2 linked regions of the Tamandua tetradactyla genome follow. Each later gene encodes a partner of the first gene's protein in a complex. Links are inferred from orthologs where the notes say so. Each region holds a gene or a part of one and is shown in the gene's direction. Other genes may lie near its edges.

The links. The genes of interacting proteins can lie anywhere in the genome.
Region 2: the proteins of NDUFAB1 (region 1) and LYRM4 are in contact, whole or in part, in a crystal structure (PDB 6ODD), measured with the Homo sapiens proteins. The link is inferred for Tamandua tetradactyla from reciprocal best matches to the Homo sapiens genes NDUFAB1 and LYRM4. Residues at the interface, in NP_004994.1 of Homo sapiens: Lys92, Asp111, Ser112, Leu113, Asp114, Val116, Glu117, Met120, Glu123, Asp124, Glu129, Ile130, Asp132; in NP_065141.3 of Homo sapiens: Arg6, Leu10, Ser11, Tyr13, Arg14, Leu17, Arg18, Lys21, Arg37, Phe40, Arg41, Lys44.

The regions. Positions count from the first base shown.
Region 1 is NC_135349.1:33,482,458-33,490,490, forward strand, and holds the start of NDUFAB1 (acyl carrier protein, mitochondrial), read left to right. Parts: upstream 1-4,963; 5' UTR 4,964-5,007; coding exon 5,008-5,175; intron 5,176-8,033. UniProt on the Homo sapiens protein: Carrier of the growing fatty acid chain in fatty acid biosynthesis.
Region 2 is NC_135351.1:7,650,318-7,657,457, reverse strand, and holds the start of LYRM4 (LYR motif-containing protein 4), read left to right. Parts: upstream 1-4,040; 5' UTR 4,041-4,626; coding exon 4,627-4,712; intron 4,713-7,140.

The DNA.
Region 1 (8,033 bases):
TTGAAACTAGGAGAGAGCTAAGTTCAAGTAAAAATACAAAGTGAAACTCGTGGAGAAGCAGGCCTTCTGTGAGATCCAATCACAGCTGCTGTGGACACCTGAACCCCCACTTGTCAATAAAGCACCTTCTGTCCAGCAAAAAAAAAAAAAAAAGCAAAACGCATTACAGATATCACTATGATTAGGATTGCTTTCCTGGTTGCTTTTGTCTTTTAGATGTGAGGATCGTATAACCCATAGCGAGTGGAGAGGACAGTTGCAGGCTAATGAAAGAATGAGAAATTGCTAGCGAAAACGGTTTAAGAAGCAGCTTTTCTATCTGAGTCCATTGACGTATTAAGGGCCTATTTTGTGCTGGGCCCTGTCCAAGGCACAAGTAAGTTACATGAAGAAGTGGCACAAATGCCCATGATTTCCACTCCTGCCACATTACGTTCTCTTTCCCAGACCAGAGCTATGGCCTCTTGGGGAGTTCCTTACAGTGAATTGACTGAGGAAGAGAAAATTCGGGCCTGGTTTACAGATGGTTCAGCACGATATGCAGGTACCACCCCAAAGTGGACAGCTGCAGCATTACAACCCCTTTCTGGGGTGTCCTTGAAGGACAGTGGTGAGGGGAAATCCTCCCAGTGGGCAGAACTTTGAGCAGTGCACCTGGTTGTTCATTTTGCTTGGAAGGAAAACTGGCCAGAGGTGCGTTTGTATACTGACTCATGAGCTATTGATAATGGTTTGGCTGGATGGTCAGGGACTTGGAAAGAGCATAATTGGAAAATTGGTGACAAAGAGGTCTGGGGAAGAAGTATGTAGATAGACCTTTCTGAGTGGGCTAAAAATATGAAGATATTTGTGTCCCATGTGAAGGCACACCAGAGGGTGACTTCAGCAGAGGAAGGTTTTAATAATCAAGTGGATAAGATAACCCGTTCTGTGGATACCAGTCAGCATCTATCCCCAGCAACTCCTGTCATTGCCCAATGGGCTCATGAACAAAGTGGTCATGGTGGTAGGGATGGAGGTTATGCATGGGCTCAGCAACATGGACTTCCACTCACCAAGGCTGACCTGCCATCAGCCACTGCTGAATGCCCAATCTGCCAGCAGCAGAGACCCACACTCAGCCCCCAATATGGCACCATTCCCCGAGATGACCAGCCAGCTACATGGTGGCAGGTTGATTACATTGGACCACTCCCTTCATGGAAGGGGCAGCGATTTGTTCTAACTGGAATAGACACATACTCTGGATATGGGTTTGCTTTCCCTGCACGCAATGCTTCTGCCAAAACTACCATCCGTGGGCTTACAGAATGCCTTATCCATCGTCGTGGTATTCCACATAGCATTGCTTCGGATCAAGGAACACACTTCACAGCAAATGAAGTGCGGGAATGGGCACATGCTCATGGAATTCTCTGGTCTTACCATGTTCCCCATCATCCAGAAGCAGCTGGATTGATAGAACGGTGGAATGGCCTTTTGAAAACTCAATTACGGTACCAACTAGGTGGCAAAAACTTGAAAGGCTGGGGTAATGTTCTCCAGGAAGCTGTGTATGCTCTGAATCAGCGTCCGCTGTATGGTGCTGTTTCTCCCATAACCAGGATCCATGGGTCCAGGAACCAAGGGGTGGAAATGGGTGTGGTACCACTCACTATTACGCCTAGTGATCCACTAGGAAAATTTTTGCTTCCTGTCCCTGCTACCCTGAGCTCTGCTGGTCTATAGGTTTTAGTTCCAAAACGGGGTGTGCTTTCTCCAGGAGAAACAACAATGATACCACTGAACTGGAAGTTAAGGTTGCCACCTGGTCACTTTGGGCTACTTATACCTCTGGATCAACAAGCCAAGAAGGAGATTACATTATTGTCTGGGGTAACTGACCCTGACTATCAGAAGGACGTCGGACTGCAACTACATAATGGAGGTAAAGAAGAGTTTTCTTGGAATATAGGAGATCCCCTAGGGCATCTGTCATGGTTAGGGACAGGTGTCAACTTGGCCAAGTTGTGGTACCTGTTCATCTGATTGGGCAAGCGCTGGCCTGTCCGTTGCAATGAGGACATTTCATAGGATTAGGTCATGATCACATCAGCTACATCCACAGCTAATTCCATTTGTAATCAGCCAAAGGGGAGTGTCTTCTGCAATTAGTGATGCTAAATGCAATCATGGGAAGCCTTTTAAGGAGGACTCAGAGGAGACAGGTTCCATTCCTGCTTTGGCTGGTGAGCCTCTCCTGTGGAGTTCATCCAGGCCATCCATCGGAGTCATCGGCTTCGCAGCCTGCCCTGTGGATTTTGGACTCTGCGTTCCTACGGTCACGTGAGACACTTTCATAAATTTTATATTTGCAAGTGTTCCCTGTTGATTCTGTTTCTCTAGAGAACCCTAACTAATACAGCATCTATTAGTACTACCATGCCCTGTGATTAAAATCAATGGAAAACTGCAACAACACAATCCAGGCAAGGCTACTATTGGCTCTGAAACTTCAGGAATGAAGATTTGAGTCACCCCACTAGGCAAAGAACCACGGTCAGCTGAAGTGCTTCCTGAGGGTAAAGGGAACATGGGATGAGTAGTGGAAGAAGGTAGTGATAAATATGAACTTCAACCACGTGATCAGTTACAGAAACGAGGACTGTAATGCTGTTTTGTTCATGTTATACTATTTAAGTTGTAAGATATCAAGTTTAAGAATGAATGTTGCCCAAGGATTTGCACCCTATTCTGGAGAGATTTAATGTGTTTCCAGTTATATGCAGGATAGTTGAGTATTGTTAGGAAAAAGAAAAAAATTTGTGCTTATTTGTTTTCATTTGGAAATTAAGTATGGTTTAAGGTGATATATATATATAGGTGCCAAGTTGACAAGGGGTGGACTGTCATGGTTAGGGACATGTGTCAACTTGGCCAAGTTGTGGTACCTGTTTATCTGATTGGGCAAGTGCTGGCCTGTCTGTTGCAATGAGGACATTTCATAGGATTAGGTCATGATCACGTCAGTTGATTCCATTTGTAATCAGCCAAAGGGGAGTGTCTTCTACAATTAGTGATGCTATATCTAATCACGGGAAGCTTTTTAAGGAGGACTCAAAGGAGACAGGTCCCATTCCTGCTTCCGCTGGTGAGCCTCTCCTGTGGAGTTCATCCAGACCATCCATTGGATTCGTCGGGTTCACAGCCTGCCCTGTAGATTTTGGACCCTGCGTTCCTGCAGTCACGTGAGACACTTTTATAAATTTTATATTTGCAAGTGTTCCCTGTTGATTCTGTTTCTCTAGAGAACCCGAACTAATACAACATCCTTTGATGGCACACAGAGTGTTAAAGAAAAGTACCATATCCTCTCTTAAATCTTCCCCAGCTGCTAAGGATTTGACATCAATCTTAATATTATACCTTTTACCCTACAGACCATGTAGGCTAGCATTTTCTCTTCATGTGTTTGCTAAAAGTAAAAGCAGCTATCCCAACCAACAAACCATTTAAATGCAAAGTGATGTATTATTTTTGATGGTCACGGGGAAGAGATAGTGCAAAGAGCAGATGTAGTAGGCTATCAGGGTCTTTCTGAGCATACCCCCTTATTCTGCAGGCGCCACTATGGATCTGTCCAAACTCCAGGGTGTGACCTGGAGGGAGGAATCAGAAGCTGGCATGTCACTGTTGACCCAAGCGGATCCTATGTGCCCTGGTCCCAGGTTCAAACAGAGATTTGGAGTCAGTCAGTTTTCCACAGAAATGGAAGGCTGCCAACTCAACAGCCTTTGGTCATCCCAAAGAGGTGATACAATTGCTCTTCTTACTGCTAATAAACAGTGAGGTCGTGATGAAGTCAGCATACAGGAAAAGCCTGCCATGAACTGCCAGCACTGCTGTAAGGACTTTCGTTGGCATCACCAGCTGCAGAGTGATTCTTGAGGTTCTGTTTTCCCTCCCCTGATCCATTAAGGTCTCAGCTCAAACATTCTTTCCTAAGAGACACCTTCAGGGCCCACCCTTTCTAAAATAAGAGCTCTGAACTCCCTCATTATCCCCTTCTCTGCTTTCTTTTTCTTCATGGTACTTATCACTACTTCCTGGAGGATTGGGGTTTTGTTGTTGTTGTTGTTTTGGGGGGCAGGGAGAGTGGGGACAGGTGTGTGTGGTTTACTTATTATTGTCTATCTCTTCTCACTAGAATGCAAACTCCAGGAGACTGGACTACAGTCTGGTTTGTCCACTGATAGCCTCAGCTACTAGCACATAACAGATCTACGCAATAATTTTTACTGAATGCATAGATAAAATAATTTTACAATCGTGTGATCATACTATGCATTCTACTTTAAATGACAAGCATTACATTTTATTTTACTTGAATTTAACAAAAGTTTACTTGAATTTAACTGAAGAAAAACCGACGGCATTGTTACATTCATCCAGGCAGTCCTCAGAGATGGGAGTTGTTTCAATTTCTACCAACATCCTTAGGCTTTCAACTAAGAAATAGGAGCAAATAAGCAGAATACTTCAACTTCTCCCCATTTCCCATTTTTGTTAAACTGTGTTATTTATACATTGTCAAACTTTAAAACGTGTTCCTGTTTTTATTGTAATACCACATTTATTAGTCTTACATATTTACACTGATTCTTATTTTTTCACATTCTTATTTTGTACCATCTGAGTTTTTGACTTATTAAATAAGTCTGAATACCTATGGGAGAACCACGGCATCAAACCTTTATATAAATGTATTTCAGAACTTTCAGATAAGTAAAAATAGTACCTTTCTCTGTTAACTACTAATTTTTAGGGAAAGACCCTACCTGCGCAGTTTTGCACCTGTGGCCTCTGAACCAGCGTGGCCGAGCAGCGCGGCTCCCAGGGCGCAGTACCGCCAGGAGCCGCCCCAGCCGGCGGCGCCCGACCGCGTGGCTCTGTCCGGCCCCTGCGCCTCGCGATAAAAGAAATCTGAGCCTGAGACAACAGCGCAGTGCATCCTGGGTCGGCGTAGTCATGGCGGCTCGTGTCCTTTCAGCCTGTGTCCGTCGCCTGTCCGCGGCTTTCACGCCGCTGCCCCGGGCCGGTACGCTAGGTGCGGCCCGACCGCTCAGCACAGCCCTGTGCCCCTCAGGGATCCGGACGAGGCCTGCGGCTCCACAGCCGGTCTTGGTGCTGGCGCAGGTAACTAGCGGTGACTTTGCTGGGGCCCGGCAGGGGTCAGGCACCCTGCCCGCTCGGGAGTTGGGGGCGGGCCGACCGGGGGCCACGGGGCCGCTCCAGGTGCAGGCGAGAGTGACTCCAGGGGTGTCTGGCTCGCTGCCACCCCCGCTGCCTAACGGCGCTTGTCTCATCTGCCCCGAGGCGGGTGGCCTAGTGATTACGAAGAAGAGCACAGATCCCTGGGTTCGAATTCTCGCTGCCACTTACTGAAACTTTGGCTAGGTCTCGTAACCTCTCTAAGCCTCAATCCGAATAAAATTGGAATACTAGTCTCTGCCTTACGGAGCAGCAGCGAGGTGCTTGGTAAGCTCCCAAAATATTGGAATATGTTAGCTCTAGTGGTAATATAAAAACCATGGTAGCTTTCTAAGAGAAGGTCAATGATATGCAAAGACTAAGGCACACTGGTCCACAGCCTTCTCCAGAGCTGTTTTCTCCCTGAATTTCTGTCCTAATTTTTCCTTATGGCATCTTTTTTTTGCCTGTTTCTAGACGTCCTGGAACCAAGAATAGGAAACAAGTAGTATTTAGCTTTCTTATCTATGAGACTGAAACTCTCCATAGAGCACAACTTCACCTGCACATTCAAATCACCTGGGTAACTTTAAAAAATATCACCTCCCCCCACCCCAACCCCAATTCTGATTCTCTCCTCTGGAATGAATCCCTGGTATAATTTTTTATTTTAAGTTCCTCAGGTGAATGAAGTGCAATAATGATTAAGAACTACTGCTTCAGCATAGGTCAGACTCGAGGTCAAGTTGAGAAACCCCTTTTCAAAGTCATGGGCCACGTGTTGTTTCAATCTTAACTGCATGTTAGAATAAAAAATAAAGATGCCCAGGTCAATTTCCTCAGAATTTCTAGAGGTGGAACTTGTAGGCATCTGCTTTTTAAATCCCCATGTGATTCTTTGTGCAGCCAATGTTGACATTCATTGACAGTGTAAGAATTAATTTATAGGACAGTCTTGTTGGTTGAATTAAAAGGTTAAAATGTCAGCTTGTAGTTGAGGACTAAGAAAGCAGTGAGCCCAGTGTTTATTTCTGAGACACATTTGCAAAGTGGTTTTTCCTATTCCTAGAGCATTGATTCTCAAACCTGACTGTGCTGGCAGATCACCTGGGCTAAAAATGCAGCTTCTGATTCAGTAGCTCTGAGGATTTGCATGTCCATTGGGCTCTCAGGAGATGCTGATGCTGCTGGTCCTTGAACCATGTTTTGAGTAGCAAGGTGCTTGGAGGTGTTTCCCTACCTTGGCTTGATTCATACAGCAGAGGAATCATTTTATTTATATTTACAAAATAGTTTTGACCATGTGCTCCTATATATCGTTTGTGGATTAAAGTGGAAAATAAATACCTATCATTCAAAGATAACTGAAGGATAGCTCTGTGTGCCAGGCCTTCCACTAGTTGTGGAGAGATGCAGAGATGGATACAAAAGAAAGACATTAGCTCATGTCTTCAATAGACATTGCAGCCTTTATGTTATACTTGCCAGCTCTTTGCCCAGTGCTCTATGTTCCCTGGGCTGTTAAGTCACTATTTCCCATGGTTCTTCCCTTACCTCTCTATACCTACGCTGTGTCCTTGGACTCTTTCTCTGTCCAATCCTTAAATATCTGTGCGTTTTACAGTTCTCTTACCACTCTTCTTGAACTCCCTCTTCTGCTCACAATTTCTATTATTGCCTGTACACAAACCACCTCCAGCCATTCATCATCTCTCATCTGGACTATTGCTCATTCCACTCATTCCCTGCTGTCAGGTTTTCCCTCTTCAAATTCATCCATTATGCCAACTCCAGAATGACTTGTTATTTATTATACACTTTAAAAAAAGAAAAGACCTACGGCAGCTTTTCTGGGTATAAAATACAAGATGATATAAATTAGAAGAAGGTGAGAAAAAAGAAAAACAAGGGTAGTGACCTGAAATGGAGACCGGAAGTCTATAATTGATCCCGTGGGCCCTTAATCAAAACTTTTTTGCAACTAGAACACAAAATGAAGTTCCAGTTGGTTCTGTGGGGCCCATACCCAGATGAAGACAAACCACTTGTGCAGAAAAAGCTCAACACTTTGGGTACTAGAGCCAGACTGACAACTATGACAGGGCTGGACTCAGAGTTGAGGTCTGTCCACATCATTCATTCCCCAGTAAGTCAAGTCCTTGGCCTTGAAGGCCCTGCCTCTCTTCAGCCAATTATCAGTGTACTGTTGTGCCCTGTATCTGCAACCACATAGGCTCCTTTTCATTTTTTCCCCACACAGACTCTATACTTTCATGCCTCCTTTCCTTTTCTTGGCCTGACCCTCCTCTCTGAATAATCTGTCCCCATTCTTTGCCTGGCTCACTGCAAGTCTGGTTATCTCCTTCCCTGCCTCTCAAGGATGTTATGAGAAGTTGTTACTGAAGCAGCCTACAAATACTGCTGTCATGGCTCTTACCACATTTTATTAAAATGAAAATGACCTCTTTGACTGACCTTTATTTTGGGGGGGGGGGGGGGATTGCTCTTTTACATTAGACCCTGAGCTTCTCTGAGGAAGGTGGAGACCACCCCTTAATTCTTTCCAGTCCATAGCACAGTGCTGGGCACACAGGTAATGCCTAAAATACAGTTAAACCTGACAGGCTGCCTGAGACTGTCATGTAAATAGATAAAGGGAAGACACTGCAACATGTGGAACAGGTGAATGTAGAGTGCAGAAGCAAGGAGAGTGTGCATTAACCTCTCAGTGAGCATGATCTTGAAGGCAGCAGTTTCTCAAATAGTTAGGGGTGGCTGTAGTGGCATATGCAGAGACAGGAAGC
Region 2 (7,140 bases), on another chromosome or scaffold:
CCCCAAACCCAATACCAGCACTTCCTTCTCCATGAACTTCCATAGATTAATGTTTCTCGGCCCTGGCTGCACAATTTCCTGGACCTCAGGGGATTTTACGCAGCTAATAAAGTGTGGCCCAGACATCAGTCACTGGAGGAACCCCTCCTTCCTCTAAGACTCCATAGCACTTCATCAGTACTTCCCTTACAGCACTTGTTCCTTCCAGCCCCATATTTTAATTACATACAAACTGTATTTAAACTGTAAACTCCTGAAGAACAATAATTGTGTTTGATTTTTAGCCCCCAAGTCACCACAAGAACAGTGGTGTGCACTAACAGGCTCATCAACTACCCGTTGAACAGAAAGATAAAATAAACAAAATTTCAGTGTTCCTGGAATATAGGACACAAAAATATGGCTTGAAACACAAGCCTATCAACATCTGGAAAACTAATCTCCATGTCAACAGCTCAGAGGTTGCCTTAGGTGAACTACCTAATGCCTTAAAGAAAAGGCATCACACCAAAAGAAGAAGCAGTCTTAAAATAAAGCAGGACACTGCTAAACTCTTCTATGGACTCACAGATGGTCCCTATCCTCACCCCACCTCCCCATTCCAAACCACTTAAAAGTTCCCCAAATAAATCTTGCACCCTCATGCCTCCATACTTTGAACATACACTGCAATCTCTAATTTATTACATTCTTCTTCTTTATTACTCATTTTTGGAAATACCTCTACTGAAAAGCCTTCCCTTATATCAAAGCCCTGGTTGAATGCCTCTTTTCTGTATTCCCCTACAATGTTCTATGGGTTGAATTATGTCCCCCAAAAAAGAAACTAACCCCTGGTTTGTGACTATGATATTATTTGGAAATAGGATCTTTGACTACATAGTTAATTAAAATGAGGCCAAAACGGATTAGGGTGAGTCCTAATCAAATAACACTGGTGTCCTCACAAGAGGAAAATATGGACACCAGTATACTGAAAGACAGAGGCAGAAACTGGAGTTCTGTTGCCAAGGATTGCCACTAACAGAAGCCGTAGAGGGGCATGAAACAGATGCTTCCCTATACACTTCAGAGGGAGCACAGCCCTTTCAAAACCTTGAATTGAGACTTTCAGCCTCCAAAACAGTGAGACAATAAATTTGTGCTATTTTAAGCCACCAAGTTTGGGGTAATTTTTTATGGCAGCCCAAGGAAATTAAGATATAACCGTATCAGAACACAGGTCAAAAATAAATTCTTGCTTTTCTTATCCAGTCCTCTACTGCTCTCAAGAAGGATGGACCCTCATAACTTCTTATATCTATCATCTTGTATAACTCTTGTAACTATCATCTTGTATAACACATTGCACTTGGGAAGTATTCAATAAAAGCTGAATGAATGAACGAGAAAAAGGGCTTCGGAATGTTCACCTGAAAGTATGAGAGTTGATGTGCAAGGTCCCTTTCAATTTCATCATTCTATAAGGATGAAATACAAATAAAAGTAATGAGGAAATAAAGATTTAAAGATCCATGCATGGAGTAAAATAACATCTAAATGATAATATCAGAAGTTGCTATTCTATACAAGATTTTCTTTACACATTTTGATATTTCAACTTAAGGACAGTAAACTGCCATTATGCTGTCTATTACATTTGAAGAAATTTCACAAAGCATTAAGTGCTCATTGACAATACTAATTTTAATGCAAGGTAATATATGATTTTACATAGGTGGTTAAAGTATTAACTATGGATAGTAAATATAAGGAAAGTTTTATATTCTGAGGCCTAAGTGACAGTAAAGTAGGGAGTACCCCCTAGTTTAGATTCACTTATCTGTGAAATTTCTTGGCCCAAAATAGAATGGACACATGAACAAGGTCCATTCACAGCTTCTGGCGCAATTCCACTTTCAACCTCAAATAGTGCTATTATTAAAAAGAGTCAGGGTGCATCAGTGGTTCAGTGGTAGAAGGCTCACCTTCCAAGTGGGAGACCCGGGTTCAATTTCTGGACTATGCACCCAAAAAAAAATTCATCTCTGCAATAGCAATGTGCAAAAAACAAGATTTAGCTTTCTTATGTGATTTTTTTTATTAGTCTTTCAAGAAAATGACATCCAACATTCCGGTAAATCATTTCAAACAAAATAATAAAATGTTTTTGGAAAACTTAGCTTAGAATTAGTTGGTAAACTATAGCTTTCTTCACTGATGACTGCTCAACCATTCACTGCACTAACAAATAATTAGACTACTCAAGCAAACTATTTAAATTTTACCCATTTATTTGGAAAGTTTTATTTGATTACAACAAAGCTAAAAGTCATCTAAATAAACTGATTAAACTGCTTGAAAACTACTAGGCATGAATAATTGTAGAAAGTTAACAATTAGGCCAAATTCATCTTCTAGATGAACGCAAAATAGAGTAAAATAATGCAATACTCAGTATTTGTAAAAAAGCAAAATTATTTTCAGTTTTTTTCCTTCTCACTTTGATAAGTTTTCTCTGTCAGTAACTTGCATTAACACTGTATTTTTCCAGGTATTTTTCTTAGCCTTGAATATAGCTTACGAAATATCAAAACGGAAAACACAAAATATTAAAAGCCTCTTCAATAAATCCCAGGCAAGATTTACCCAATAACCTGACCAACCCGCAAGAATGACAAAAGTCCTGCTATTCAGTTTTAAAAAAATCCATTTTAAGATACGTGGATGCATGAGAAAGAAATCAGACAGGAGGATTAAAAGCATTTTACTAAAAGCATTTTCTCTTCAATTCCTTTTTGTTAAGTGTCATTGCAATAAGACGAGTAAGTATACCTGGATGCACCGACAGCCTGTTGCAAGTAGACTAAGGTATTGGTAGAGTCAGAGAAATATTTTCTGCCCTTAAAATTCCTGGAAATAGGAGCTTGCTTTGATACGGAACAAATGTCCACAATTTGGGTGCTGAGTAATAGTTTCAAATCTAGAAGAGATAAGAACATAGCCATAGCTCGGTGGTTGAAAAAAGACGCGTGTCAATGCGCCCTTGTTTGTTTTTACGCATGAAGTTACTCCTCCCAGTGTTTTGGGACAGGAAGCTGTGATTGTTCCTAACGTTGATCATATGCAGGAAGACTCAGAATAAGTGAGGTGTTCTGCAACACCATTTCCAGAACTCGCTCAGGCTTCCCTGCACCCAGTCCCACGCTCAAGAATCAGGAAGAGCAACTTTATCCACCACTTCTAAAGACGTTATTCAGAAAAGCTGAAGTCTTATGACAAAGGCCACTGAAGAAAACTTTTCCACGAAAAGCTTCAGGTAAAACTTGCTCGGCTTCTGGCCTTGGGTCTGAAATGATTCCAGGAATCCCTAAAACCCTAAAGGTCCCCAATCAGTCGCCCAAATTTTGAGTTCAGGCCTCCCGCCGTTTTATGCATTTATTAAATTACAAAACTCTGAGGGATTCAAAAGCAAAAACTTGAGAGCCTAAAATATGAAGCTAAAACGGGAATATCCACGACCAGGTGCTAACTCCCTCCCAAACCAACCGCCAGCGTTGCGTCCCCAAGCTGCAGTGAGGCCGGCACTCACCCACCGCTCGCCCCGGAAAACCCGGATCTGGGGGAGGTCAGAGTCAGAAGCGCAGCAGGCCTATTCGCTCGTAGCGAGAAGGGACTTAACGCACCCAGTTCAGAGCCGCTCCTGCACGCAGGGCGCGGCCATTTTGACAAAATGTGGGCCCTACGCCGGAGGCACCTTAGCCTGTCGCCCTAAGCAGAGCCGGAGCGAAACGGAGCCCCCAGCCCGTGCCCTCCGAGCCCCCCGAGCCCTGTCCCTGCACGCGACGAGTGCCCCACGGCCCAGGCCCGCAGACAGGCCTCGGCGGAAACGCAGATCCCAGAAACAGCCCCGAGCACCGCCATTCAGGCAGCGCCGAGGGCGGCCGTGGCCAACGGGGCGGGGCATCGACGGCCGGGGGCGGCGCTTTCCCAAGAGCGGGCGTTTGGCTGGGGGTAAGACGTCGGAGGCAGGGGGCGGGGCTTCGGAGGCAGGGGGCGGGGCGCCGGGGCGTGCTTGGTAACCCAGGCAACGCACTCCGGGGTTGTCTTAGGTAGCTCCGGGACTCACCGAAGTTCCTCCGCGCGATGCGTCCCCAGAAAAAAACGTCTCCTCCGCGACTCGGGGCGGTCAGCTAAAAGGCATCCTGGTCGATGCTCGCCCTCACGGCCTAGCCTCCACCCGCGGTTATCAAGAAGGCGGCTGGGTGCGGGCGGCCCCCCCAAAGGCCGCCCGTCCCGCCTTCGCAGCCCTAGACCTTTTTCCAACCTGGTTGTCCTGGAGCTCCGTCCGCCGCCCCACCCGGCCGCGCCCCTTAGCTGCCCCGGCCCTGCCTGCGGCCTTCCTCGGGAGGGCACGGGCCTCCTGGGCGCCTTCAGAGATTGGCAAGGCCGTCGCGCTCTGCAGACGCAGCCTGAGGCCCGCCGCCCGCCAGCGAAAACAACGCGCTCTATTTCATTTCCTTCGTGGGTTTGTTTTTTGTTTTGTTTTGTTTTGTTTTGCAAAGGCGGAAATTTGGTGGTTTGCGGTAGACGCGGGACTTCTACGAAGAGGACCCGTTTACTTTTTTTTCCGCCCCCCTGTCCAAAATGGCAGCCTCCAGTCGTGCACAGGTTTTAGATCTTTACCGGGCGATGCTGCGAGAAAGCAAGCATTTCAGCGCCTACAATTACAGGTGACCCGACGGGCGGAGCTGCGGGGACCGGGATGGGGCTGGGAGGGGCCGGGAGGGGCCGGGGGTTCCCAGGAATGTCCGGGGTGCATGGAACCCATGTGCCGGCGTCCTCAGGACAATCGCGGGAAGGGTCCCTCAGCCGAGGAGTGTGCCCCTTAAGACCTCGGGGTGAGTAGCAGTGGGTTTGCCCTTCCTTATCAGCGGGATGATGTCCAAGTCTTGTGACATTGTGCTCTCGGGGCACAGTTAGTGTTCCTTTTCTGCCATGAAAACGATGAACGTGGAAGCTGTAAGCGACAGACTGAAGACCAGGTTTCTTAATGTATAGAACTTTTCATAGAAGTTGAACAGTTGACAGTGGAAGTTACCGGCCGGTGGGACAGATCCATAAAGATGAAGGCTCGCGTTGGCCATCCCTTTTCTTTCCTAGATGTCTTAATTAGCTCTTTCAGCTGCGTGAACGAAATTCGTTTTCGTTAGGATATTGGTGAGGGCAAGGAGTAAAGGTGAGGAAGCTAATATATCAGTATCTGTAAGGGAAACAGAGTTCTCACCAGCTTGTAGAAGCAGAAACATTAGTTTATCCTGACGACAGCAGACCTGAATACAGCTTAGAAAACCTAAGCAGCATGAGAATGTGATTCTTAATCTAGTAACCGATCCTTAATGTTGCACACTCACTCCTTCAAGGTTTACCCTATTCTGTTTGTATGCTCGCAAGTCCCTTTTTCTTACACTTTGTGTATATCTATCTTTTCTCTACCTTAGAGCCTCAGCTTCTCATGTTTTCTGGCTCCTCATAACTTCTAGCCAATCATTAATGCTATATAAATGTAGAGATTCTCTCAGAGTCTGAATCATATTCCCAAGAGGAAGAATCTGATAGGACCAGCTCATCTCTTTAAACCAGGCCTCCTTTTAGGTGACTGCCCAGCCTCTGGATTCCCTGTCATAGGAGCTGATGCTTGCCCCTACCTGTAATTGTTAGATCTAGTACAACATCACTTAGTAGGCAGAAACACTTAAGCCTCTCAAACAGTGACTCTCTCTAAATGTTAGAAACCTGCATAGAAAGGGTACTCCTCCTGTAAACTTGAGAACAACATCTTGGACATGAGGTCATAGTCACCCAGTCAAGTGGTTAAAAGAAACTTTCATATGGCAGGTGTTAGTTTCCTAGCTGCTAGCACTAATAGCATACAATGTGTTGGCTTAACAACAGGAATTTGTTGCCCCATGATGTGGAGGTTAAGAGAGAAATTCAGGAATCAACAGGGCACTTTCTACACAGAGACTGACATTCTAGGGCTGGCTGCCAGTAATCCTTGGTCCTTGCCTTTTCTATGGCAGTGCGTATGGGCAGCATCTTCTTTCTCTTCTGGGTTCCATTCACTTCTGGCTGCTCCCCATGGCTCCCTTTTCCATGTCCAATTTCCTTTACTTAAAAGGAATTCAGCCCTATTAGATTAAGGCTCACCCTCCCTCAATATGAGCACATGTTAACTGATGGTATCTTCAAAGGTCTTCTTTACAAATAGGTTCACACCCACAGGCCACAGACCCAAACATGCCTTTCTGGGGGAACATGAGTCAGTCCCCAACAGAGAACATGGTTTTATTCAACGACTTTGGCTTTGGAAGGTAAAGGCTATGAACACTAGACATACTGATGGAAATTTTAACAAAAATTAAACACAACACCATGACTATCAAGGAAATCACTAAGTATGCATGTGAAAAAGTAGAAACCAGTCATTCTGGCCACAGTCTGGAAGAAGATATTTTGTCATCTAAATAGATTCAGAATAAACAAGGACTGGAAATCAGTTCACGGTTCACACACTGTGATAGAAGCCCTGGAAGAGTGTATAACCTTGACCTTTCTCCCAGCCTCACTGTAGTTCAGGTTTCTTGTTCATAAAATTAGGCTGTTGAACTAAATAATCTCTAATGACCCTTCCATTTCTAAAATTCCATTTGGAAATGATTTATGAGCCCACTGGTGAAATCAACAGATAAGTCTAGGTTTGTCCAAGTGAATTAATGCCAAGTCCACAGTGGGAAGCTGCAAGGTCTTTGAAGGCTATATCTAGTAGGCAGAAAATTGAAAAAAGAATTTTAGTGGGAGCAACTATAAGCTAATAAACATTTAGGAAAAAGTTCAAATTATGCTTCAAGGATATGCCTTTGAGCTAGGTTTATTATTCAGATATAAATGTACTGTCCAAAAGAATCTATTAATCATTTTATACTTTTATACTTTTTATACAAATTTTATACTTTTTCCTGAAATCATGACCCTAAGACCTGAGATTCTTACTAGGATCATGTCCTAAAATAAACCTATTATAAAATACATCCTTCTTTTGTATTAAGGTCATATTTTGCAGATTTCAAGGATATCCCTTTCTCCCCTCTCTAGTATTAG